2 linked regions of the Coturnix japonica genome follow. Each later gene encodes a partner of the first gene's protein in a complex. Links are inferred from orthologs where the notes say so. Each region holds a gene or a part of one and is shown in the gene's direction. Other genes may lie near its edges.

Region 1 (4,397 bases):
ATAGAAATGTTTAAGAGTTTTATTTTCTTCCTAAACTATATTGCTATACCACTCGTATAGCAATCTGCACATTCCTTTTAATTAATAGTGTTTTTCTTGACAAGTCTTAATTTATATAAAGTCGGGCTTCTTGTAAAGTACGTAAAAGTTAAACTTTAACTCAAGATACAGAGCATAAAACAACAAATGGTACACAAACCCCATTCCGTGTGAGTATTGTTGTGGTGGTAAATGTATTACGTTCAGATCCCAGTCGCAGTTGTTCTTTGAAAGGAGGGGGAAGGTGCTATCAGTTTTCTGGGATTTCTTGCTTTTTTAAATGAAGCCCTTTTACAATGTGACACTGGAAGATCTGGGAGGTGTGTCCAGATTTGTCAAACTTATAAATGGGTCCTTACGATAAAGCATTTTAAACATTACTTAGGTATGCAGTAGTTGTTTATAGTCAGATAACTACTAGGATGTAGCAGCTTGCACAAGGTAATGTTTTGAATATAAATATCTTTCCAAAGTGTTACTAATGGTAAAGAGATAATTTTCTAGGCTTCTATTCTGCTGCTTGAAGTCAGAACTGCTGATGGAGACAAAGGCACGAAAGTGTACGTATTCCGGATTAGCAACCCAGGAACCCATCACTTCTGAAGACTCTTAACTGTGTTGTCATTCTATCATTTATATCTGCTTTAAAATATTTGTTTGAAACTGCAGTAGTTACGTTTGTGTTCAAACAGGTTAAATTGATCAGCAAACTGAATAAACGTAAGATACACGTAATTTTAAAAATTTTCAATCAAAAAGTAAAATTAAATGATCATGGAATAAAATAATATTAGAGCAGGACTATAGAAAAAGTTGGTAGATTCTGCTTACCCTGTACTCATTGTGCTCCATTCCTGTTGCTGTTCTCTTCTACAGGAGGGAAGACACCAGACCCTAAAATGAATGCCAGAACGTACATGGATGTTATGCGTGAACAGCATTTAACAAAAGAAGAGGTGAGTTGGGGGTGGGGTTTGCTTGTGAACTTGGTTTCATTCTGCTGCCTGAGAAATGGCCATAGGAGCAGTGGGAATGGAAATTCTGTTGAATCGTTCAGTTTTTTTCCTTTGTAAATGTTGAACCGTGATGGTGGACCTTATGGATGGTAGCTTTGAACAACGTCTGTTCCACATCATACCAAAAGAACGAAGGGAGGAATGCTGTCGGTGTATGTTACTTTGGATTGTTCTGTAGCTCTCGGGTTGTCTGTTTTCTTTCAGAGGTGAAGAAGTGGAACCTGAGAGATATAGAGAGGTGTTTTGTGTTGGAGGGATTTGTTTTTGTGAGCTTTATATAAAGAGAATCCAGGGGGGTTTTAATAGGCTTTTGTTGCAGTAGCAACAGCTGGTTAACATTTGGCTTAAAACTTGAAAGGAGAAAATTGAGTAAAACCACCTATTAATAGTTACTAAAAATTCAATATAGTAGTTTGAAAGATATTGGTAATATAATAAGATTTCTTCTGTCATACCTACAGAGCAGGTTAATTGGAGAAAGATTTTAGAGCTCCATTGACCTTTGTTGGTTTATACTGATTTACTCAAATCGACAGCGGTTGAGGAAATAGTTTCCCGTTTTGGTAGCCTTACTGTATGAACTAATTGATAAATCAGAAATAGTCTGTGAGTGTGGTGTTTCAACAGTGTCATTTTGGAATTCTAAATGAGAACTCATGGCTTTTTTAATGTCTCAGCATATAACTCGTGTGAGTTTATTTTCTAATTCTCTTTAATAATTTACTGAGGTGGAATTCACTTGAAACAGGCTAGTAGTAGTTCTTAGGTATTCATATGGGAAATAGAAACCGACAGCACTAAAGCATTCTGTACAGTTGTATTTCTGCTATACTATGAACTTGGGTAGCAAATGAATTTAAACGTAGTCCCTCCAAACACGTAGCCCTGTTGCTATGGAAGAATTTGAAATTAGAGTGGCTAATGACATGTTATTTGGACGTAAAAAGATAACTGATACAACTGAAAATACTCTTAATATTAAATCTAATTTGTAGAGGCCTTCTTATGAAATAATTTATCTTTTTGTGTTGTTGAATAGAGGGAGATTAGGCAGCAGCTAGCTGAAAAAGCTAAAGCTGGAGAGCTTAAAGTCGTCAATGGAGCCGCGTCTCAGCCACCTTCAAAGCGCAAGCGGCGTTGGGATCAAACAGCTGATCAGACTCCTGGTGCAACACCTAAGAAGTTATCCAGTTGGGATCAAGCAGAGGTAATAATCCCATGTCCATCAGTTTGTATGTAGCAGATATTAATGCCAATCCACATGAAATTCAGGCTTCTTACTCTGACACGTACGCGCTGTAAAGGAATAAAAACAGCATTCTTTTAGTGCATAGAGGAGAGAGGTTAATACTTAGGCTTTTGTCTTGTGTAGACTCCTGGACATACACCATCCCTGCGGTGGGATGAAACTCCAGGCCGTGCAAAGGGTAGTGAAACTCCCGGTGCCACCCCTGGCTCAAAGATATGGGATCCCACTCCCAGTCACACGCCAGCAGGAGCCGCAACGCCTGGACGGGACACACCTGGTCATGCAACACCAGGCCATGGAGGTGCCACTTCCAGCGCACGTAAAAATCGGTGGGATGAAACTCCTAAAACAGAACGAGGTATGTATGGCGAATTGGAGAGCGTCTAAGAAGTTTTGAATGGCAAATACTGTAGGAGTTTTTCACCTTACGTGAGCAATAGAAGCAAACAAACAGCAGGAAGTGATTACATTCTGACATCTAGTGGCTGATGTGATGTTTTTATCTGAGTTTGTGTAGCACTGAATTCTGTCAGCTTAACCCACTTGTATGCTTTTTGATTCATGTAAGAATGAGGATGAGATAATAAAAATGGAATTGGATGTTTTTGCTGTAGTTGGAGTATAGTACTGTTCAGTTTTCTACAAGAACTGTGTTGTTTTATTTTAGATACTCCGGGACATGGCAGTGGATGGGCTGAGACTCCACGTACTGATAGAGGTGGTGATTCCATTGGCGAGACACCAACCCCAGGAGCAAGTAAAAGAAAGTCCCGATGGGATGAAACACCTGCTAGCCAGATGGGTGGCAGCACTCCTGTTCTGACACCTGGCAAAACACCCATTGGAACACCAGCTATGAACATGGCAACTCCTACGCCAGGTAAGCCCAATCTGTTCTCTAAGGCTTCACTTTTTTATATGAAAATGAGGCTCCAACATTTATATTGTATACTGAAATAGACTTTTACCTTGTGTACAGTTCTCATATACTAACTATACAGTTAGTATGTGTTCAATTTACCTATTTTAATGCCCATAGGAGCTAAGGCTGATGTCTGTGTTCAGTCTAGATAGTAAAGACATGTCATATTTGCTAGTGTGGAAAGTTTTGCTCAAGAAGACACTTGAAGTAAATCTATCTTCTGTTTATGGAAGTTATTAAAAAAAACATTTTGATTTTAATATAGGTCATATCATGAGCATGACTCCTGAACAGCTGCAGGCTTGGCGTTGGGAGAGGGAAATCGATGAGAGAAACAGACCACTTTCTGATGAAGAATTGGATGCTATGTTCCCTGAAGGATATAAGGTAATTAATTAGGGTGAGGCTGCTGCAGCAGACTGATAGTTTTCTTTTGTCAGGAGATATTGATTAAAAAAGAAAAAAAATAAATCCAACATGTATTTCAGAGTGTTTCATAGAAGCTGTTGATTAATTCATGTAGAAATTGGTTTGGTTTGGTTGCTCATTTATTATAAATCCATTAGAAAGTGAGAAATTAATGTTTATTTCAATGGCCAGTTCTTATTTTGCTTCTCAGCCTTAAGAATGTCTGCTGAGTTCAGAAAGAAAGCGCAAATGTGGAATGACAGGAGAGGGTGACAGATTCTGACTTCATAAATATACAGTGTTGATACAAATATTGAAGGTGGGGTTGGAGGTTAAGTTTAGAAACTTAAATAGTTTCTAAAGACTTGTTAAGTCCATTACCCAAGCCCTCTTCTGAAATACTGTCAATAGAGAATAAGCATGAATATGAACTATCCTGCTGAATTTGTGAATTAAATCACTGTATGTGGGATCTGATGTATGCAGTAACACACAAATCTATGGAGGGCTAAAAACTTATGTTCTGTTTTATTTCTGTTCTGCATTTGGGACCTTGCTCAATTTGCATCTGTTGTGGTAAGATGAGCCTTGAAGGCTGTGAAGGTTCTTTACATTAGTTCTCTGGTGCAGTTTTTAGCATATTTCCTTCTTTCTTCTGCAGGTTCTTCCCCCACCAGCTGGTTATGTACCTATTCGTACTCCAGCACGTAAACTTACGGCAACTCCCACACCTTTGGGTGGTATGACTGGATTCCACATGCAG
Region 2 (4,397 bases), on another chromosome or scaffold:
TATGAAGAGAAAATGGTATGTAACACTGAGAAATCCATACAGCTGTCCTGTCTTAAGCACTTGTCAGAATGGACTTAGTGTTCTGCTCTTTTGAAATCTGGCTTTGTAAACCTTTGTTGGGTCATTCAGAAATATCTCAGTAATTTAAAACAAACAACCCCTTCCTCTCTGCCCCCCTCCCCACACATACATACACACACAAGAAAACCCCACAGCATTTTGTTTGGTGTTTCCCTGTGGTGTTCTGTGGGAATAACTATGAACGTGTTTTGGTGTTCTTGGAAACATTGTCGGAGAAGCTTTGAAGTGCGTACAAGAAGGCTTACAAGAATCGTGTAATGAGAATTATTCCAGTGTCTTAAACTTAAAAAGCGTAATGAAAAGGAATTGGTCACATTGCTTTTGATGTTGAGTAGAGAGTTGTAGACAAGGAGGAGGGCAAAGAGTTTAGCATTCAATGTCTCAGTCAGAAGGATCTGTTGGTTCCTAGATGGCTGCTACTTCAGTTTCTTCAGTATATGGCATCATTTGAAGGCTAGGATCTTTCACGTGTCACTGTTTAGCACAGGAAAATAATTCCAGTTTTGTTTTTGAACTGCAGGAGTAGAGTCCTCTGTAGGAAAAGTACATTAATTTTAATGTGAGGAGAGGAAAATCAGTTTTAAAAAAGGGAGGGAGGGCATAAGGCTTTGAGGAGTCACTGTGTTCATTCTCAGTTGAAATGTACTCTGGTGGGGGCACTTCAGAGTAGGGAGTTTCTTTCAAGCAGTGCAGTATATGAGCAAAGTAAATAAAAGCCAGCTTTGAAAATACACAGGAGGCTGAGAAGAGGTTTGCTGTGAAGTGTGAGTGGTGCTGACTGTAAGCCTTCTCCAGCTCTTCAGCCCTTTCACATTGTTTAGACTGAAAGGGATTTTATTAGCTTTTCAGAAACCCAATTTGTTCCTTATGAAGCTTCAGTTTAGATTCCTTAAACTTGAAAACAGGTAGTTCCATGTCTCAGATTAGATAGGAGGAAACATCCTTTGTTTCCTTTCACGATATCCCAACTGTAGGAGATGCAACCTTCCACTCCTTACCGTTGTATCACATTTTCTTTCTCTGTTCCTTCCTGTTTTCCTGCTCCTAATCCCAGAGATCCCTAATGCCTGTGACTACATGTGGAATTTCTTTATAGCAAAGCGAAACTGATTCTTGTAATCTGCTACTTCCTGTGTTTCTTCTTAGCACTGAAAATAACCCAGTCTTCTGCTGAATTGTTTGTGCTACTTCCTAGAAGAAGGCAAACTTGGGTTTGTCTCATCCAGGCTCTAAATAGGCACACTGTTAAGGAAGATCGTATTTTACTGTAAAAACAGTCAGAAGATGCACTGCAAAAGAAAACAGGAGAAGTTTCTATCTCTGTTGGTAGAAGAATAGCTCAAGATTGTGTAGTGCAACCTACTGTCTGTGTCCTGCCTTAAAGACACAGACAACGTTTGTTATCTTGTTACCTGAAGCACCTTGAAAATGGTTGTGGTGTATTTGTGCTCTGCCAAAAATTATGGCTATTTCCTTGCTAACATGTTAGAACAAGGAAGCTTCTCGAATGCAGTTTGTATTTCTTATCTTTTGTGCTCCCAGTGAAACAAATAAGGGTTGGCAATAAGGCAAATAAGACAATAAGATCCCAGCTAGTTTAGAAACAGTAATAAACAGAAATGATCTTTGAGGAATAAACAGAAACCGTTCATTGGCTGTGGAATTGAGCTGTGTCAGTCAAGCTATAACTGTGGTTAGAGTGTCTCTAACTCCTCTGTAGCACAGAAAGGATTTTATTGTCTCATCTCCTCTCATCCCATCTTTCTGTCTTTCATGTAGCACAGGATCTGTTTCAAGAGTTGAATATACAGAGGGCTGGCACTGTTCTTGCCAAAGTCTGGAGCATGTTCCTTTTTACCAAGAAATGTGACTTCCTATAACTGTATGTTGCTAAATACCAGGTTATGTTGTGGCAGCTGGCAGAAGGTCTGAGTGGTTGCTTTTAAGCTTGGAGCTGTCTTCTGTCTCAATTGCCTATTCTCGAGTTCCTGCAAACTCAGGATACTTGGAAGAGACGTTAATTCTAAAAAGAACCTGTCTCAAAGGACCTAAACCTTTTAGGTATTGTCTCCTGTCATCTTTATTTGTTCAGCAAAGATGGTGAGCAAAGGGTGTACTCAGTCATCTTAGGCTGAGCATATGTAACAGCTCTTCGTTGCTGAAATTGGTTTACTGGCTTTAGCCATGGGCTTTTCTGCTATCCCCAGCCCTTTTTCATGCCAATTGTAATACTTATCTGACACTACACGGTGGTCATTATCTCACTAAGCAGCCAGGATGCTAATGTGGTAGAAAAGAGAATGGTTGTTGCCAGGTGGGTGAGGCGAATGAGTTTGATGAAGAATCCTGTGCGTGTTGGATGGGTGTACATCTCTTGGAATAGGACCATAATTTTTGCTGGGAGGAGGTTGTTAAAGGGGCTCTACTGCTTTGCTTGGTGACACTCACATGCTCTTAGTGCCAGTCAGATTTCAGTCTTAATGCAGGTTCGTTTGACAGCTTTGATCCTAACATGTAGCAGCAGCTGGCCTTGACTTAGTGAAAGAATCTGTCAGCAACAGCTACATTGCTGAAATTAATCATCTCTTTTTTGTTATCATAGCTATGTATTTGAAGATACAGGAATCTGTATTGTTCAAAAAGCATTTGTTGTCTTTTAAATGAATGCATATTGTAACGTCTCACACTTCTGCTTAATTTCCCTTATCAACAGCAAACAGACAGAGCAAACAGATTTGAGTATCTGTTGAAGCAGACTGAGCTGTTTGCTCACTTCATTCAGCCTGCTGCTCAGAAAACTCCTACTTCACCTTTGAAAATGAAACCAGGACGTCCGCGAATAAAGAAGGATGAAAAGCAGAACTTGCTGTCAGTTGGCGAGTGAGTGATGACATGTAGACCAGCTTGTACTGTAATTAAGGATTTTATTGTGCTTTAGAAGCGTAAGTTAACACTGTCAGCCTTTGTCCTGTTTGGAGGTGTTTTACACTGTACAATTGTGGTGTTTTTTTCCCCCCAACTACCCACTTGTAAATTGTCAAAGAATTCTAGGAGTTACAAGGAATCTGTGATGGCAAAGTACTATCGCAATTTAAAGTATTCCAGTACCAAGGAAAGCTGGGGCAGAAGAGTAAAGCAGTCTTGGCTGTAATTTGTAAGAGTTCACAGGTAACACTGTGTGTCCTAGAGGCACCTTGGAAATCACATCCACAAAAGTGGATTGCCTTCATGGCAGCGTGTATGTCTGCACTACTCCTGCAGCTTCTGGCATATGTTGCAGAACCTTGAATCACAGGTGTCATTTCTTGCCTTGTAGTTCCAGACCAGTACTGGTGTGCAGTGTCTTTTGTGTTTTAGCCCTTTCTAGTCACTTTGCCCTAACACATGACCTTGTTCACAATGTGAGGCATCCTATCATTAAGAAGCTCTTGATCTAAAGAACTAAATTATTTCAATTCATCAGCTTACCTTAAGAGTTCTCTTGCAAGAAGCTTCTTTAGGTGCTCACGTGTATTGCAGACCAATTAAATTTTGGAATCGTTCTGAACAAATCTTCTTTTCTGCACTTTCAGCTATCGCCATCGTAGAACAGAACAGGAAGAAGATGAAGAGCTGTTAACAGAAAGCTCCAAGACAACGAATGTCTGCACTCGGTTTGAAGAATCTCCATCATGTGTGTTTCCTCTTTTATTTTTCTCCCCTCCTTCACCCAAAGTGCTTTACCCTTCAAAAGTTAAGCTTGAAACTCAAACTTCATGCTACTCAATGAGAAAAAGAGTCAACTGGGAGGGAGGAAAATGGGAGGGAAAAAAGTCCAGCACCATTTTGATGAAACATAGTAGGTTGGCATGGGAGTGTTTACATTCAGGCTAGAAAGATGCTCCAGTCTTGTCCTTATGAAATCCAATTGCTATACTGTAGTTAATGAGAAAAAGCTAGCTTTAAGTTGGCGGTCTTAAAATATTCACAGTTCTAACTCATCTTGTGATTCAGCTTGAAGTACGTAATGGCATCCAGTCTATTTGACAGAGAAATGAATATTCTGCCATTTTAATGTGGTACTGTTGTAATGCAATGGAAAGCACAGCAATGACAGCAGAGCAGCAAGTTCCCAGGCTGCAGCAAATAAGGATTTACTCAAACATAACAGCCGTGGGCACAGAAATAAGGGAAAGAAAGCCTCGGGCACATAGGAATCTGCAGAGAGATAGCCTCCCCTCCACTGCCAGCCCTTAAATGAGGTCTAGAAAGGGGCATTGCATGCACCTGAGCTCCCCTGGGTTGGCTCTGCCTTTCCACCATGTGCTCAGTCACTG

Evidence for each region. The genes of interacting proteins can lie anywhere in the genome.
Region 2: SF3B1 (region 1) and SMARCA5 share a complex: the UniProt entries of both Homo sapiens proteins name them as parts of the B-WICH complex. The link is inferred for Coturnix japonica from reciprocal best matches to the Homo sapiens genes SF3B1 and SMARCA5.

What each region holds. Positions count from the first base shown.
Region 1 is NC_029522.1:34,531-38,927, forward strand, and holds part of SF3B1 (splicing factor 3B subunit 1), read left to right. Parts: exon of another isoform or gene 1-915; coding exon 916-995; intron 996-2,094; coding exon 2,095-2,262; intron 2,263-2,427; coding exon 2,428-2,662; intron 2,663-2,971; coding exon 2,972-3,184; intron 3,185-3,491; coding exon 3,492-3,613; intron 3,614-4,295; coding exon 4,296-4,397. UniProt on the Homo sapiens protein: Component of the 17S U2 SnRNP complex of the spliceosome, a large ribonucleoprotein complex that removes introns from transcribed pre-mRNAs.
Region 2 is NC_029519.1:26,874,323-26,878,719, forward strand, and holds part of SMARCA5 (SWI/SNF-related matrix-associated actin-dependent regulator of chromatin subfamily A member 5), read left to right. Parts: coding exon 1-15; intron 16-2,794; coding exon 2,795-2,961; intron 2,962-3,653; coding exon 3,654-3,754; intron 3,755-4,397. UniProt on the Homo sapiens protein: ATPase that possesses intrinsic ATP-dependent nucleosome-remodeling activity.